Tamandua tetradactyla: one gene and its partner. The protein of the gene in region 1 binds, or shares a complex with, the protein of each later gene. Links are inferred from orthologs where the notes say so. Each region holds a gene or a part of one and is shown on either strand. Other genes may lie near its edges.

What was found.
Region 2: the proteins of IRAK2 (region 1) and IRAK4 are in contact, whole or in part, in a crystal structure (PDB 3MOP), measured with the Homo sapiens proteins. The link is inferred for Tamandua tetradactyla from reciprocal best matches to the Homo sapiens genes IRAK2 and IRAK4. Residues at the interface, in NP_001561.3 of Homo sapiens: Tyr6, Ile36, Lys44, Met48, Glu59, Trp62, Trp63, Trp64, Gly65, Met66, Arg67, Gln68, Ala69, Gln73; in NP_001107654.1 of Homo sapiens: Asp24, Phe25, Pro28, Gln29, Lys34, Glu92, Phe93, Phe94, Ala95, Pro96, Ser98, Val105.

What each region holds. Positions count from the first base shown.
Region 1 is NC_135335.1:38,986,726-38,995,190, forward strand, and holds the start of IRAK2 (interleukin-1 receptor-associated kinase-like 2), read right to left. Parts: upstream 3,620-8,465; 5' UTR 3,518-3,619; coding exon 3,424-3,517; intron 1-3,423. UniProt on the Homo sapiens protein: Binds to the IL-1 type I receptor following IL-1 engagement, triggering intracellular signaling cascades leading to transcriptional up-regulation and mRNA stabilization.
Region 2 is NC_135333.1:103,422,718-103,431,865, reverse strand, and holds the start of IRAK4 (interleukin-1 receptor-associated kinase 4), read right to left. Parts: upstream 3,459-9,148; 5' UTR 3,299-3,458; exon of another isoform or gene 3,236-3,298; intron 3,230-3,235; exon of another isoform or gene 2,183-3,229; intron 965-2,182; 5' UTR 956-964; coding exon 795-955; intron 1-794. Other genes in the region: pseudouridylate synthase PUS7L, read left to right, coding at 7,820-8,732.

The DNA of each region.
Region 1 (8,465 bases):
AGTGAAAATGTTCTGAAATCAATTGTGATAGATGCACAACTCTGTGACTATACCAAAAGCCAATGACTTTAAATGGGTGGATGGTGTGGTATGTGGATTATATCTCAATAAAGCTGTTTTTTAAAAAATTCATAGGCCAACCTTATAAATTATTTTCCTAGGTATAGAAGTTGTTCTGGAGTTAACAATTGAAGGCTGGACTAACAGCGGAAAAGCTATAGAGAGCCCCACCCACAAACCTTGCTGTCCACTGACCAGGATACTTTCAAAGTGGTTGAGTCACAGGTCATCCAAACAATGGAGTACAGAGCAGTCTTGGAAAGAAAGGGGTAATCTATTCTCATACTCACCCTGGCTGAAGGAAGGAGATTTGTTACCAGTCACAACCTCCAAGTGGGGAAACTGGGTGGTTAAAGACCAAGGAGGTAGAGCTTTTAAGGTGTGACCCTGTGTCTGTGAAAACCTTATGACTGACGCTCCCTTCATCCAGTAGAAGGACAGATGAATAAAAATAAAAAGACAAAATAATAAATAAACAATAGGGGGTAGGAAGAGGGGATGTTTTGGGTGTTCTTTTTGCTTTTATTTTTATTTTCTTAAAAAATGTACATTGTGCTGTTTTGAACAAAATAAAGAATTCTCTGTTAAAGCTATGTTCTTAACCCAACTAAGATTGTTTACAAAATCCCATATGACAGTGATGCATTGTCCTTGTTCCAAAATATTTTTAGATATTTCCAAGTTTATTAAAGGCAGTTATGTAGTTATCTATATAATGTAAGCAATAATGTAAAATATGAGAAAAGGCTATAAAATGATGATTCATAAATCTGTTGGAGATGAGAAAAAAAGAATTGTTAAAACTAAAGGAAACCTTAAATTAATGACTATCTCCTTTTTTGCTGCTAAAAAGTGCAACCTCTTAGTTTATGGTTGAAATTGATATGATGCTCTTGATTGGAGTATATTTTTCATCTGAAAAAGCATGAAAGTATCTATGACATTGACCCTGAGTATTCTTGAGTTCATAAATAATGATCTTTGAGTAATTTATTTTCTATGTATATACCCAAAGTTTAGTCATTATGAAAGCACCTCTTTGGATTAGAAAAGAGAAACAAAATACAGTCCCTTAGTTGAAACACAAGATCTGCATTTTATTTAGGTGCTAGACTTTAATAAAATATATTTTTAAATTATAAAAAAATGTACAGTACTATTCAGAACTAGGAAATGTTTTAGTAATGGACGGTGGTGAAGGTAGCCCGACATTGTGAACATAATTAACAGGACTGAGATATATATATTTGATTGTGGTTAAAAGGAAAATGTTATATTGTATATATGGTAATAGGAGGAAAAATATTTTTAATCTATGAAACTGTACTATACAAACAATAAACCCTAAGTTAAACCATGGACCACAGTTAATCATACAGTTATGAAAATGTGCTTTCACTTATTGTAACAAATGCACCACACCAATGCAAGGGGTTAATAAAAGATGGTATATGGAAACCCTGTATTTTATGCATAATTTTCTGTAAACCCACACTTTCTCTAATAAAAGTGTATTTTAAAAAGACCAAGGAGGGAAAAGAAACTTGATTTCCTCTCTATCCTAGCTGTATTATTTATATTATTTAACCTAGTATATATATTTCGCTTTCAGTCTAAAATAGTTAATAAAAGATACACACTGAAAAGAATATATTTCTGGGCAATGGGAAATCATGATACATTTTGTTTGTTTGTTTTTTGTTTTTGTTTTTTTTACATGGGCAGGCACCAGGAATCCAACCTGGGTCCTCTCGCATGGCAGGCAAGCATTCTTGCCTGCTGAGCCACGGTGGCCCCATGATGCATTTTAAGTGAAAAAATGCAGGCTATTAGATAGAATGTACAAATAGACATAAGTTTGAAAATATAGACAGAAATTAATATATTAAGGAAAAAGACCAGAAGGCATAAAACATCTAGCACTCAACTCTGCACATAGTAAGAAGCCAATAAATATTAACTGCTGTTGTCATTGTTATTATTATTGGCACCCAAATATTAAGAAAGTTTATTTCTAATGGTAAAATTTGAGCTCATCTTTTCCCCCCTCCCACAGTATTTTGCAATAAGAATGTATTATTTTTGTTATTGGGTTAACACAGGGCTTCTCAAGCTTGGCCCTGTTGAAATTTTTGGCCCAATAATTATGTTGTGAGGACTGTCCTGTGTATTTCAGGATGTTTAGCAGCATCCCTGGCCTCTGCCCGTTGCATTCCCCAAGTTGTGACAACCGAAAATATCTCCAGACTTTGACAAATGTCCCCCAGGAGGGAAAATCATCCCCTGTTGAGAACATGAGGTTAAAATATATATTATTTGCTCAAATTCGATGAGCACACATATATTCATTTTATTACTCTTTCAAATGTATACATTTATTATACACTCTGTGTAAAGGTATATTTCATAATTTAAAGTTTTAAATTAAAAATATATATTAATTCAAATGGCACTAACCAGTTAGACTGACTTAAAACATAAAACTACAAATGACCATAAATAACATTTTCTAATTATTTATAAGAGTTTCTAATACTTATGTGTCAGGTGCTTTTTATACAATATTTTCAGACCTCACAACTTTATAAGAAAATATAATTATCATTTCCAGTTTACAGATGAAGTAATTTGCCCAAAGTCACCAGCTGGAAAGTGGTGGGTCCTGGAATACAGACCCTCCTTACTTAGGAACCTGAGGACCACACACGCAGTTGCCCCCTAGATACCATGACCACCCATCATTAACCCTCTTTCCACCAATCAGCAGCCGGGGAAAAAAAATCAAGTAGTTGCAATGTAACACTTAATGGTGGAGCCAGATTTCCCGCGTTCAAATCCTACCCTCCCATTTAGCAGCCATGCCACTGGGGAAATTACCGCTCTCCTTGCCAGTTTCCTAGTCTGTAATGTGACGTCAGAGGAGTATGCACTTGTAGGCTGCGGCGAGGATTTAGTGAGCTGATACAGGCAAAAAGCTAAGAACAGGGGCTGGCATGCAACAATCGTTATTATCAACGGCATAATTGTTGATAGCTATTCTAATAGTAACACGTTTTACCTTAAAGAGTAAAGCAAAAGAGAGGCGGTCATTACTTGGTGACAGGTGGGAGTGGCTCCCAAGAGAAATATTTGTGCCAGTTCGGACGGCAAAGATCACTTTAACACCTTCCAGATGATCTAACCGGTTCAGAGAAGGGGCTTGTCTGAGGTCACACAGCGAGGGCCCGATGCAGAAATCTCCGCACACAGAGGCCCTCGGATCAGGACCCTCTTAAACAGAATCCCGGAGTGGGTTTAGCGGCCGGATCGGGGCGGGATCGCTGGGTGGACCGGCCGCCCCGCCCCTACCCGGACCCCACTCACCGAACTGCATCCAGTCCCATTCGTTGAGGGTGTCCATGTTGCGGCACAAGTCGTCCAGCACCCAGGAGGGCAGCTGGTAGATGTAGCAGGCCATGGTGAGGGTGCCAGGCGCCGGCAGGCAGATGAGAGCGAAATTGAATCAGATGCGGCCAGGCTCAGCTTCTCTACCCGGGGGTGGGCGGTTCCCGGCTGTCAGTACAGCTGACCGGGAAGTGGGCGGGGCCGGCAGTTTGGCGTGACTGCCCTCTGGCGGCCACCTGGGCAGGACGCAGACCGGCCAGCTTGATCTGAGCAACTGGGGGAAGCAAGGAAGTTGCCAGAGCTGAGAGGGGACAGGTTCCCCACAGCGGGGAAGGACTCGATTAAGACAGATGGTAATTTAGTGGCAGTCACAGGAGACCGTCTGACTCCGTGCTTTTGTCACGATGCCATATATAATTCATTCAAAAACATTTTATTGTGTAACTACTGCATACCAGATATTGTTATAAGTGTTGGGAATACATAAGTGAAGAACGCCTACAAAAGTCCTTACTTTCATGGGATTTACAATCCAGTGTGAGTGTTCGCAGGAGACTAGCAGAAAATAATAAAAATGTGAAATAAGTAAATTACATAGTGTGTTAAAGGTAATTAATTAGTGGCATGACAAAACAGAAAAAAGAAAGTGGTTAAGAGGAGTTTGAAAGGGGCAGAAGAAGAATTCTGTTTAAACCTGGGTAGACCTTATAATAATAATAGGTAATATTTATTGAGCAGTTACTATGTGCCAGGTGCTGTTCTAGGTGCTGGGGATTACTCTAAATAAAAAGGATGGCCCTCCTGAAGCAAACCTTCTGCTGGAGGGTAACACACAATAAGCAATAAAAACATTAAATTAAAATAGCTTAGCAACATAGAACTCAAGTAATGTTAGAGAATAAAAGTAGAGTATGGTAAAAGAAAGAGGGTACTAATTACATAATGTTATTATCTTAGAGAGTTTGATCGTTGGGTTTATGTGTCAATTTGGCCAGGTAATGATGCCCAATTGCCTAGTCTAGTAGGCTCTGGCCTAACTGTTACTGCAAGGACATTTTGTGCACTTGAATCATAAGTAAGTTGATTGCAACTATGACTGATTACTTCTAGGATAAGCTAAGGAGAGTATCTTCAGCAATGATGGGTATTTAATCCAATTAGTTGAAGGCATTAAAAGGAGAAGTGATGACTTCAACAATCAGAAGAGACAATTTTCTTGTCTACTTCAGTCAGGAGAGACTGGCTGGAGGATTCATCAAAAACCTTCATTGGAGTTGTCTCCAATCTGCCCTAAGGTATTTGGACTTGTGTATCTCCATAGTTGCCCTTTTACAAAATCTCATATTTACAGGTATCACCTGTTGATTCTGTTTTCCCTAGAGAACCCTGACTAATACAGAGAGTGAAAAATAATATTAGGGGAAAAGCATAATATGGCGAAGAGGATGGCAGAACAATTACTAAATAGGATAGGAAGAAAGAATTAATACTAATAATACTGAACATCTATTATGTGCTGCCTTTACCTGAGTTATTTCACTTACTCCTCACAACAACCCTATGAGTTAGGGGTGGTTACTGCCCCCATTCTACAGATAAGGAAACTAAGGCACAGAGAAGTTAAGTAATTGGCCTAAAATCGTACGGGTACAAATTGGCAGAGCCAGGATTTGAACCCAGGCAATCTGTCCCAGAATCCAGGCTCTTAATCCCTACCACATACAAACTGTCTATAATAACAACTACATTTTATCTATACCTACATTGTGTCAGGTGCTTTGCACAAATTTTGTAATATATTTCTCAAAAGCCTATGATATTGATATTATAATCCCCATTTAACACAAAAGTAAATACATTTTAAGATTTAGGCAACGTCATCAAGGGCAGATAGGCAATTAGAGAACCTTTTTTTTAATTTATAAAAAAAAATAACAAACGCAAAACATTCTTAATTTTTTAACATTCCGGTCTACATATATAATCAGTAATTCACAGTATCATCACACAGTTGCATATTCATCATCATGATCATTTCTTAAAACATTTGCATCGAGAACACTCACCGACCTGTCTCCTGCCAAGCAATTATCTCTCCACAGAGGGTGGGCCTTTAGCTGTACTCTGGGGAATGGAAAGTCGATGACTGCTTTGAGCCTTGAGTTCAACTGTAGATAAATGAAGACTCAAATAATAATGTCAACTAATGGCATAAACATAATAGGAGTTTATTTTTTCTCAGTAACAAAAATGTTCAAAAATCAACTGTGAGGCTGGTTCCGAGAAGATGGCGGCTTAGTAAGACGTGCAGGTCTTAGTTCCTCCTCCAGAACAGCTACTAAAGAAATAGAAACAGTACAGGGCAGCTCCCGGAGCCACGACAAAGACCAAAAAGACAGCGTACCCCATTCTGGAACGGCGGAACAGGCTGGGAGAATCCGCTGCGGTGAGATCTTCGAGGGGCGTGCGCTTCCCCGGGTCGAGGCGGCTGGCGGCCGGAGTCCCTCCCTCCCTCCTTCCCGGGCCGGCTGGGAGAATTGGATTGGAGGTCCCCCAAGCCGCAGAGGCCAGCGCCCCCCACAACACACGGATTCCCGGGCTGGCTGGGAGATTTGGACCGGCAGTCCCACAAGCCGCGGCGGCCGATGCCCCCCCACAATGCGGGGCCTCCCGGCTGGCTGGGAGAATTGGATTGGAGGTCCCCCAAGCCACGGCGGCTGGCGCCCCCCCCCCCCCCCCCCACGCACGGATTCCCGGGCCAGCTGGGAGATTTGGACCGGCACTCCCCCAGCCGCTTCGGCTGGTGACCCTCCCCCACAGCGAGAGTTTTCCAAAGTTAAAGGAACCACAGCATCTTTTACTGGTGGGACCCACAGACGGACGAGCACCACGAGCATACCATACTGGGCAGGATAAGAAAAACAGAGCCCAGAGATTTCACAGAAAAACCTTTCAACCTGCTGGGTCCCACACCCAGGGAAATCTGATCAAATGCCCAGACACCAGCAGAAAATAATGGATCACGCTAGGAAAACTGAAGATATGGCCCAGTCAAAGGAACAAACCAATAGTTCAAATGAGATACAGGAGCTGAGACAACTAATGCTGAATATACGAACAGAAATGGAAAACCTCTTCAAAAACCAAATCAATAAATTGAGGGAGGACATGAAGAAGACATGGGCTGAACAAAAACAAGAAATAGAAAGTCTGAAAAAACAAATCACAGAACTTATGGGAGTGAAGGACAAAGTAGAAAAGATGGAAAAAACAATGGATACCTACAATGGTAGATTTAAAGAGACAGAAGCTACAATTAGTGAACTGGAGGATGGAACATCTGAATTCCAAAAAGAAACAGAAACTATAGGGAAAAGAATGGAAAAATTTGAGCAGGGGATCAGGGAACTGAATGATAATATGAAGCGCACAATATACGTGTTGTGGGTGTCCCAGAAGGAGAAGAGAAGGGAAAAGGAGGAGAAAAACTAATGGAAGAAATTTTCACTGAAAATTTCCCAACTCTTAGGAAAGACCTAAAATTACAGATTCAAGAAGTGCAGCGCACCCCAAAGAGATTAGACCCAAATAGGCGTTCTCCAAGACACTTACTAGTTAGAATGTCAGAGGTCAAAGAGAAAGAGAGGATCTTGAAAGCAGCAAGAGAAAAACAATCCATCACATACAAGGGAAATCCAATAAGACTATGTGTAGATTTCTCAGCAGAAACCATGGAGGCTAGAAGACAGTGGGATGATATATTTAAATTACTAAAAGAGAAAAACTGCCAACCAAGACTCCTATATCCAGCAAAATTGTCCTTCAAAAATGAGGGAGAAATTAAAACATTCTCAGACAAAAAGTCACTGAGAGAATTTGTGACCAAGAGACCAGCTCTGCAAGAAATACTAAAGGGAGCACTAGAGTCAGATACGAAAAGACAGAAGAGAGAGGTATGGAGAAGACTGTAGAAAGAAGGAAAGTCAGATATGATATATATATAATACAAAAGGCAAAATGGTAGAGGAAAATATTTTCCAAACAGTAATAACACTAAATGATAATGGGCTGAATTCCCCAATCAAAAGACATAGACTGGCAGAATGGATTAAAAAACAGGATCCTTCAATATGCTGTCTACAGGAAACACATCTTAGACCTAAAGATAAACATAGGTTGAAAGTGAAAGGTTGGGAAAAGATATTTCATGCAAATAACAACCAGAAAAGAGCAGGAGTGGCTATACTAATATCCAACAAATTAGACTTCAAATGTAAAACAGTTAAAAGAGACAAAGAAGGACACTATCTACTAATAAAAGGAACAATTAAACAAGAAGACATAACAATCATAAATATTTATGCACCGAACCAGAATGCCCCAAAATACGTGAGGAATACACTGCAAACACTGAAAAGGGAAATAGACACATATACCATAATAGTTGGAGACTTCAATTCACCACTCTCATCAATGGACAGAACATCTAGACAGAGGATCAATAAAGAAATAGAGAATCTGAATATTACTATAAATGAGCTAGACTTAACAGATATTTATAGGACATTACATCCCACAACAGCAGGATACACCTTTTTCTCAAGTGCTCATGGATCATTCTCAAAGATAGACCATACGCTGGGTCACAAAGCAAGTCTTAACAAATTTAAAAAGATTGAAATCATACACAACACTTTCTCGGATCATAAAGGAATGAAGTTGGAAATCAATAATAGGCAGAGTGCCAGAAAATTCACAAATACGTGGAGGCTCAACAACACACTCTTAAACAACAAGTGAGTCAAGGAAGAAATTGCAAGAGAAATTAGTAAATATCTCGAGGCGAATGAAAATGAAAACACAACATATCAAAACCTATGGGACGCAGCAAAGGCAGTGCTAAGACGGAAATTTATTGCCCTAAATGCCTATATCAGAAAAGAAGAAAAGGCAAAAATGCAGGAATTAACTGTCCACTTGGAAGAACTGGAGAAAGAACAGCAAACTAATCCCAAAGCAAG
Region 2 (9,148 bases), on another chromosome or scaffold:
TAATAATCTCAATAAACTATCTTTAAAAATTGGCTTTCAAGGTTTAAACGTAAGCTTCTTTCAAGAAATTGAAGAAGTTTACCCTTCAAACTAGGAAACATTTCTTGGAAGGATTAATGAGGGAACCAAAACTTAAAAAGGTTTTTTAGCAGGTTAATGCTGAAAATTACAGATAAATTTTTTTCCCTCATGCTACATATTTTGACAGATCTCAGCAGCAATGATTGACAAAGAATAAAATCTGCATTTATGTTTTACATTAAAGAAAGCAGAACTGAGTAGAGAGGAATATTGGAAATTATCTGAAAATAGTGTCGAAAACTCCTGACCTAACTAAGCACTAAGAATTCTGATCATAGATGTGTACACTCATAAGTAACAACTTTAAAATATCAATTTGAAGAATTTCCAAAATACATTGATAAAATGCATTAGAGTCACGCACTTAGAAGCTTAAGTTTCAGAATTTTACTAGAGATTCTTAAAAATTCTTATATTACTTCAATATGGAAATAAGCTGGGGAGGCAGAGTAAACCGCACGTAGCTTGCCAGAGAATTGTAATTGGTTCTAATCCCAAAACTAAATTTTCAAGACCATAATATCAGCCCAGCCAATAAGGCAAATGAAGCAAAAATTACAAGAAAACAAACAAAAAATGGGTTACTTATAACTGTTATCTCCATGAGAAAGACCCAGTCCCTAAGCTGCGATATTGGGCAGTACTTATTTATTCCTATTAATCATTTTATATTGTGATATAAGAATTTTTAAAAAAGGAATATTGTATATAACCTTATGTGAAACTGATTGTATCTATCATCACCAGATGGTTTTTTAATAGCCACAGCTAACTTCTTCCATCCTTCTTGAGGATCAATAAAATCTGACAGCTTCCTAATTAGTCCAACATTGAGGCAGCGCACGTATGTTGATGAGGTTATGGATTTGTTCATCTTCTATTCCTAAAATATAAAAAATTCTTATTAAAATTTTACAGTAGCTTTGGGAAGGACATCTGTAAACTTATATATCACCCTTTGTTATATCATAGGAAAGGTTGGCAACTTAATACACCATTGTAAAGAAATACTCTAAAGTCAACTAGTTAATGTTCTAAGAGGAAATTAAAATTGTAAGTTCTCTGATTAATTGTCCTCTGGGTTTGCATTCTTTTCCCACCTACACACATCAATAAGAATTTTAAAAGTTCATTTTTTTATTCTTATTGATGTATATTAGGATACTATTTTCCAAATGCAATTTATACAAAGTAACAAAAAGTTTACTGTTTTCAGTAAAATTTCTGTGAGCATATTCAGGAATCAATTTGTTCATAAAAGAGATTTACTTGTAAAGATAAAATATCCTCTGTATAAAAAATTAAAGGGATGCATATTGAGAAACAGAGTCCAGTCGGAATGATTATACAATAATTTGGGTGAGCAGAAATAAGAGCCTGAAAAAAGTATTAGGTAGGGGAAGGTTCAGGAGATTTAGGAGGCTAAATCAAAAGGATTTCATGTGTGATCAGATATTGAAGGGATGGAGAGTGAGGAGAACAAGGAAGATGATTCGTAGGTTTTTTGGCTTGGGCAATTAGGTAGATAGTACGAGGAAATAAACCATTCAGTTTTGATATTAAATGTGGAATATCTATCTCTGGAACTATCTGGGGGGTGGCAGCAAGTAACTAGATATTATAGTCTGTGGGTTAAGAGGGAAGTTTAGGTAAAGAATGCACAATAAATAAAGGAGTTGGTTGAAGCAATAAGTAAGATAAGGTTGCCTTATATATTAGGAATATATAAAATGGGAATGAATGAAGAGAAAGAAAATTTTTAAATATTCATGAGGCAGAGTCATGGAGGGAAGCTGAAAATCAAGACAGTAGCATACCAGAGAATTTTTAGAATGGGGGACAGGTTGGTACAAATGACTCAAGAGGTCAAGAAAACACTCATGGTGTCTGCTAGATTTGGAAACCAGGCCACTGGCTTCAATTCCTTTGTATTGACTGTTTATTCTCTCAGTGAGATGTGAAGATACCGGTGGTTTTGAGAAGGGAGAGATATGTTGTATATTCATGCCTTAAAAGGGCACTGGGGGTGCTGCTGAAAATAAACTCTACTGGAGTAGAGACGCAGGGAGAGGCCAATTATGAGACTACACTAACAACTTACACTAACAAGTGGCGGCTAGGACCAGGGTGGAGGCAGAGAAAGTGCAAAATCCTTGGATGCTCGATATATTCCCAGACAGAGCCAACAGAACCTGCGTGCTGATGTGGAGTGGGAAGATGGTGAGGAGGTTTTGGCCCGAACGACTCTTCACTGATATTTACTGAAATGGACAAAACTTTGGAAGGCACAAATTTGGTCTGGAAGATCAGCTTCACTGCGAAAAGCAGAAAGCTAAATTCAAATAAATATTTAGCATGAAACAGAAGAACAGAACAGAAACATAAAAGGTATCTTCTGACAGTCGTCTCCAAGGACTATCCCCAGCAAGGGGAAAGGCAGATTTTAATATCCTGTGCTCTGAAGTCTCCTTGGGAAGATTTGTTTTTGAGGCATTAATAAGTGTTACTGGTTCCCATTCTAAATGACGGATGTTCTTTCTCGGCTTCCCCAAGTTGCTTTTTTTTTTTTTTTTTTTTTTTTTTTAATCTCTTGATTCACTCTCTGGTTGCCAGGCTTAAGTACACTTTTCCCATCTGCTAATGTAGTTATCTAAACTTTACATCCACTGTCCACTTTCTAATTTCTTGAGAGCTTGGAAATCAGAGAAAACAAGCTTATTAGAATCGAGGGTATGCTCAGAATGCTTCCCACGCTGCCAGCATCTCTGCTGCGTGCTGGGCTTACTTCCTGGCTATCGGGAAATGAGATTTCATTTCGCAGAAGAGCTCAGAGAACAAACAGCCTGGAAGTTGAGAAATGAGGCGAGGTCTGACCGAGCCACAGAAGTGCTGGGTGACGCCTCTCCGCGCCTTAAGTTCCTCCTTCCATCGGAGTACCTTTCTGATCCCGGAGGGCCCACTACCCAGGTCACGATCCCGGAGCAGGGTCTTCCCACGCAACCTACTTCCTCTCTAGCGCCTCTCACTTTGGAGATAAGACTTGAAGCGATTTGCGCTACAAACGGTCACCCGATAACTCGGGGGCAGAGGGTGAGGCGGGCCCGGGCCTCGGACAGTCTCCGGGAAGCAGGTGCGGACGGCGGGAATCCCTTACCTGCCCGCTGTACGGGACGCGGGTGGGGCGACGCCCCGCGGAGTAAAAGGCCTAAAAACTTACGCTCGCTCGGAGAAGCGGATGGGCGGGCGCAAGTCTCCAGGTCCCGCCCCCGCTCCGCCTGCCGCGTTTCCTCCTCTCTGGGTCCCGAGACTTGGTACTCAGTGAGACACTGCAGTCTAGGGTAAGGCGCTTCTTTCCGTGAGCTGCCCCTTTAAATATGCCGCTGTCGGAGGCTGAATAGTTGAAGCTTCCGGGCATGCGCACAGCGTTGTGCCGAGGCGCGCCTTCACCTGGACGCTAGGTAGGCTGGATCGCGCTAATTGGGCAATGTGCAGCTTGTGTTTGGGACTGTGACAAGGTTGGCATTGGGGACCCCGACCCTTTGCCCTAAAAAAGGGGGGCGACGTGGGCTTGCTTCTCCGCCATGGATAGGCGGAGAAGCAAGTAGAGCTGCTGGCAGTGTATGGGGGGGGGGGGCACTTTCGGGGCAAGTGAAGTGGTAGCGCCGGGTAGGCTTTACTTCTGTGGCTTGGTAGCTTTTGTTAGGAGCGAGATCGGGGGAGTTTGGCGGTTAGTGGAAGAAGAGCATGATGGAGAAGCTACTCTCCATTTCTACTACCTTCCCAGAATCATTCCTCAACCTGCAATTCTCCAACTCCGACTCGCCGCCTCGCCCCCTCATAACTAAACTGTGGCTTAGGAATTCTGCACATTTGAGCTTAACTCCACGTGGACTCCTTGGCTGCTGTCCAGTTTGGGTCTAGACCCTTTTGACATTTCCCAGACTCCCACCTCCAGCCAGTCTCACATCATTATCCACCTCAAGTCCCTGCATTTTCCCATTCTTTTACTAAGGTGCTTGGTTGGAATCCTTTTATTGTTTACCTTCTCTCCCTATTATTATTATGTTGGCTTAGAATACCTTCATATTATCTTCCTTTTTCTGGGAAAAGAGATGACCATTGTTCTTTGCAAGGCCAATCTGCCGCTATGCGCTTGATCATATTGCTTTGCAACTCTTCTCTTACCCCATCAGATGCATTTGGCTCAGTGTTATCAGAATCATCTTACTAAAGCATCTTAATGATTGTGTTGCTTTTCTACTCAGACAACTTCTGTGGCCATCCATTGACCATCTAATGGATTTGAAGTCCTTGACAAGGCATTCAGTCTTCCATAACTGGGCTCCGTTTCCAAAACTGTACTAGAAAACTCTTTTTCCCCTACTGTTGCATCTGGGCTGTTTATATTTTTCTCTCACACATTCATATTTTGTTTGTAGATTACTTATGATATTCTCTCTATCTCATTTTTATCTCTTGAGTCCTTTTGAGGCCACACTTAGATGGTCACCTTTTGCATTATGCCTTTTCTGATTATCACAGGCAAAAGTGATTATTTCTTTCTTCCTCTTCATTCTTAAAGCTCTTATTTTATATTTGTCATTTTGTTCATTTCAGCAGTCAATGGATTGCATGCCTATTATGTGCTTGGCAATGTTTTAACTTTGGGATAATCAGTGATAAATGAGACAAGAATCCTGCTTATGGAGCTAACAGTAGTTGGAGGGAGATAGACAATAAATATTGAAGAAAACATTTGAAATATTATGCAGAAAATAAAATAGGGTTCTGTGAAAAAGAATCTAAAGATTCCTTTAGATACTGATTAGGGAAGACCTCTTTGAGGATATAATTTCAAAAGATGTAGCTATATGGCCAGGGAAGGAATAATTTAAGCAGCAGGAACAGTTAGTACAAGGCCGTTGTAGCTGGAGTGTAATGGGTAATGGAGAAAGGGTACAAAATGATTTTGGAGAATCAACAGAATCTAGAATCAGAAGTCTTTGGAAACCAATGTAAGAAATTTGGATTTATAGTTAGAGGGTTGTAAATAGGTTGTGAGATGATTTAATTTATCTTTTAAAAGAGTTCTGGGGGCTCTATGGAGAGTGAACTATATTGACCCATGGAAGCAGAGATTAGAGGCCTTCTGAAGTCTAAGAATTTCAGGTATGGAAGTACTAAAGTAGGGGTGATGAAAAGACAGTGGGTTGATCAAAGAGCTAGATTCTTAAAGTTGATGTTTTGGGGGATGATTGGTGATGAGAAAGTGGGGGGTGTTACTGAGGGGATGTACAACTGAGATGAAGTGGCAGTGGAAGATCTAGGACTGAGGGATCCTGGTGTTAAATGGAAGATCCAGGTAGATGAGCGTCGAAGTCATGTTGGATGGGAAGGTATGAGTCGGGTGTTAAGTCATCAGTGAATGAAGAAGAGTCCTCAAACTATCAGAGTGAAGGTGACAGCATTTGGTAAAACCCAGTGGCATGAACTTTAAAGGAACTGGGATTTTTAAAGGTAGAGGAGGAGAAAAGTGGTTTGGAAGGAGTGATGGGAAACAGAAAATATTTACAATCTCCAGGTCCTAAGGTAGTAGTGTGTGAAAGGGAAAATAGCCTTCATTTGGGAGGATACAGAACTAGTCTGAAGAAATAGCCAGGTTTCACTTAGGGCAAGAAATTGAAGGGAATGTGCAGGAAATTAAATATACCTTTATATGTTCCCTAGGAAATAGTGTGTAAAGAATTTGTTGTGATTTCTACACAACACAGTAGAAGAGATTGAGAAGGGGGCAGAAGGGAGGGGTGTTGCTTATTTGATTCAGATGAGTGGAATATGTGTAGAAATACGGATGAAAATCCAGATAATAACAAATTGCCTGGAAAGTATGGGGTTCTGCTGGTAACTAAATGATGTGGACCCTTGAGCAACTGATTTTTTTTTTGATTTTTTTTTTTTATTAATTAACGGAAAAAAAAAAGAAATTAACCCAACATTTAGAAATCATACCATTCTACATATGCAATCAGTAATTCTTAACATCATCACATAGATGCATGATCATCGTTTCTTAGTACATTTGCATCAGTTTAGAGGAACTAGCAACACAACAGAAAAAGATATAGAATGTTAATATAGAGAAAAGAAATAAAAGTAATAATAATAGTAAAAAAAAAAAAAAAACCTATAGCTCAGATGCAGCTTCATTCAGTGTTTTAACATGATTACTTTACACTTAGGTATTATTGTGCTGCCCATTTTTGAGTTTTTGTATCTAGTCCTGTTGCACAGTCTGTATCCCTTCAGCTCCAATTACCCATTATCTTACCCTGTTTCTAACTCCTGCTAGACTCTGTTACCAATGACATATTCCAGGTTTATTCTCGAATGTCGGTTCACATCAGTGGGACCATACAGTATTTGTCCTTTAGTTTTTGGCTGGACTCACTCAGCATAATGTTCTCTAGGTCCATCCATGTTATTACATGCTTCATAAGTTTATCTTGTCTTAAAGCTGCATAATATTCCATCGTATGTATATACCACAGTTTGTTTAGCCATTCTTCTGTTGATGGACATTTTGGCTGTTTCCGAGCAACTGATTTTTCCACGACTACATGTCATAAGATAGCTGTGAGTTGTGTAAAGAGTGAGTGATGGCTGCCTCAGAGGCCATTGTTTTGTCTACTGCTCCAAGAAAGCTCTCTAATGGTAATGATATTGTAGTTGGAAATATCCTCTGGGTCGTCCTCAAAAGTTTGTGCCTGTCCCAGTGAGGGCTTTAGAGAAGGCTTATGGTCCAGGACTGAATTAAGCCTACCTGAAAGCATAATGAAATTGTGAGTTGATATTTAGAACTGCATTTGCTTATCAATTTAAGCTTTTTCTTCCTGTCCTTTCCTTGTCTCTTCTCCAAATCCCCATCCCCAGTTTAGAAAAATATAGCCTCAAATTCTCTGGAATTAGAAATTTTAGGTTCTAGGGATAGAGTTTAGAGAAATCATTGTAAACACTCTTATCATCTAGTTTCTTCTTTGGGGACCTATAAATAGTATTATTAAGGTAAACCTGAAATTGACCCATTTTAAGCCTGGATGATGGGTGGAAATATGCAGTGGATTTAAAAACAAGCTACAAATCACCAACTATACCAGAAAAATAATTTTCCTATTTATTCATCTTGGTATAGGAGAGTCAAAGTGCACATCATAAATTAGTTATGTAAATTAAGGGGACTCAAAATTAAATAAAGATTTTTAAATGTTATAAGAAAAGAGATAAGATATTCATATGTTATTTGTAAAAACATTTGTATCTTTATATTTCCTTGAAATAAAACATTTGAAAATGTTCAGTAGCAGGTCATTACTATTGCAAAGTAGTTTCTAATAACTTTGTACATATATTTTGAGAATGTATATAGTTTTGATAGCTAGTCAAATGGTATTTAAGTTAGTGTTTAATATTAGAATCTAAGAAATGCTGATATCTGTATCTATAGATTTTTTCCTTGTTCACCTTAATTTTAAATTAGTTCATGTAATTTACTGTAAAACACAGACTATACAGTGATTATGTTTTGTTTGGAATGCCAGAAAATAAAGAGCAAAAAAAAAAAAAAAAAAAGATTGAATTAAGAAGATTAAATAAATCCTGCAATCTTATTCCTTTTTTGTTATTCACAACTTTTCTCTCTGGTAACTGCCTGCCTCTCTGTTTCTTTTGCAGACATTTACGAATGGAAGAGGATGCAGATTATAGAAGCAGATTTAGTTCTTTGTGTTACATTAATGATCATGTTGGATTTTGTGGTACTATAAAAGGCTCACCAAGTGACTTTGTGGTTATTGAGATTAATGAGCAGGGACAATTAGTTGATAAGGCCATTGATGAACCTATTTGCAAGATTAGTAAAATTCTACCTGAGCCAAGTAATCTTGGCAAAAACATAAAACTAGATCTTCAAAATTGTTCTTGTGAAGATGAAAGTAACCAAGAACTTAATACTTTGGCTAGATGCTCCAGTAGTGACCAAAATCATCAGTCTGGTACAGAAAATGAAGAGACTGTCGAAGGGCCTTCCAAATGTGAAAAAGAAAAAGCTGATATATTAGGTTCCTTGTTAGATGAAGAAACTAATGAATTATTGAATCAGTTTGCTTGTAAAATAAAAGAAAAATGGAATTCTGAAAATGAGCTAATTAAATCATCATCTCCTGAATTCTCACTAGGCAAAATCCTTGAGAAGAACCAAAGGGCCGTTTTACATAGTGCTGTTAGGCAGAAGTTTCCTTTCTTAATAACTGTAGGAAGAAATAGTGAAATTGTTATAAAACCGAATCTTGAATATAAAGAACTCTGTCATCTGGTATCTGAAGAAGAAGCATGTGACTTTTTTAAATATTTAGATGCAAAGAAAGAGAATTCCAAATTTACCTTTAAACCTGATATGAATAAAGACCACAGAAAAGCTGTCCACCATTTCGTTAACAAAAGGTTTGGAAACCTTGTGGAAACTAAATCCTTTTCTGAACTGAATTACAATGCTGATAATTCAAATGTAGTGATAACAGTAAGATTTCGGGAAAAAGTACACAGGCAAAGGAAAAGATCTCTTCTTGAATGCGAGGAAAGAAAAGTTACATATACAGGTAATTCAATAAATCATCATTTTCTTGGATAAGCTTAATTAAATTTAAAGTTGTGTGAAAGTTGTGTAATTTCAAATGAGTTGGATAGACTTTGCCAGAGGGATATTTGAAGAAATATCTGTTATTTGCTGGGAGAAAAAGCCTTTCAAATTGTACTAAATGTAAAATAGTCTTAACTGATGATAGTCTGCTTAACACAGGCAATTATAGTTAACATAGTCACAACTGTATAAAGTTGGAGCAGTTATTTTGTTTTTCATAACCTTTATTGAGGTAAATCTTAATTTCATATTTTTAAAGTCATCTTAATTAAAATTAAACATTTGGAGATAAACAGAATATGTATGCTATGATTGGAAAAGGAAGACAATGCCTTGTAACCCAAAACAAATTTCCCTACCCAAAATAAGCCATGG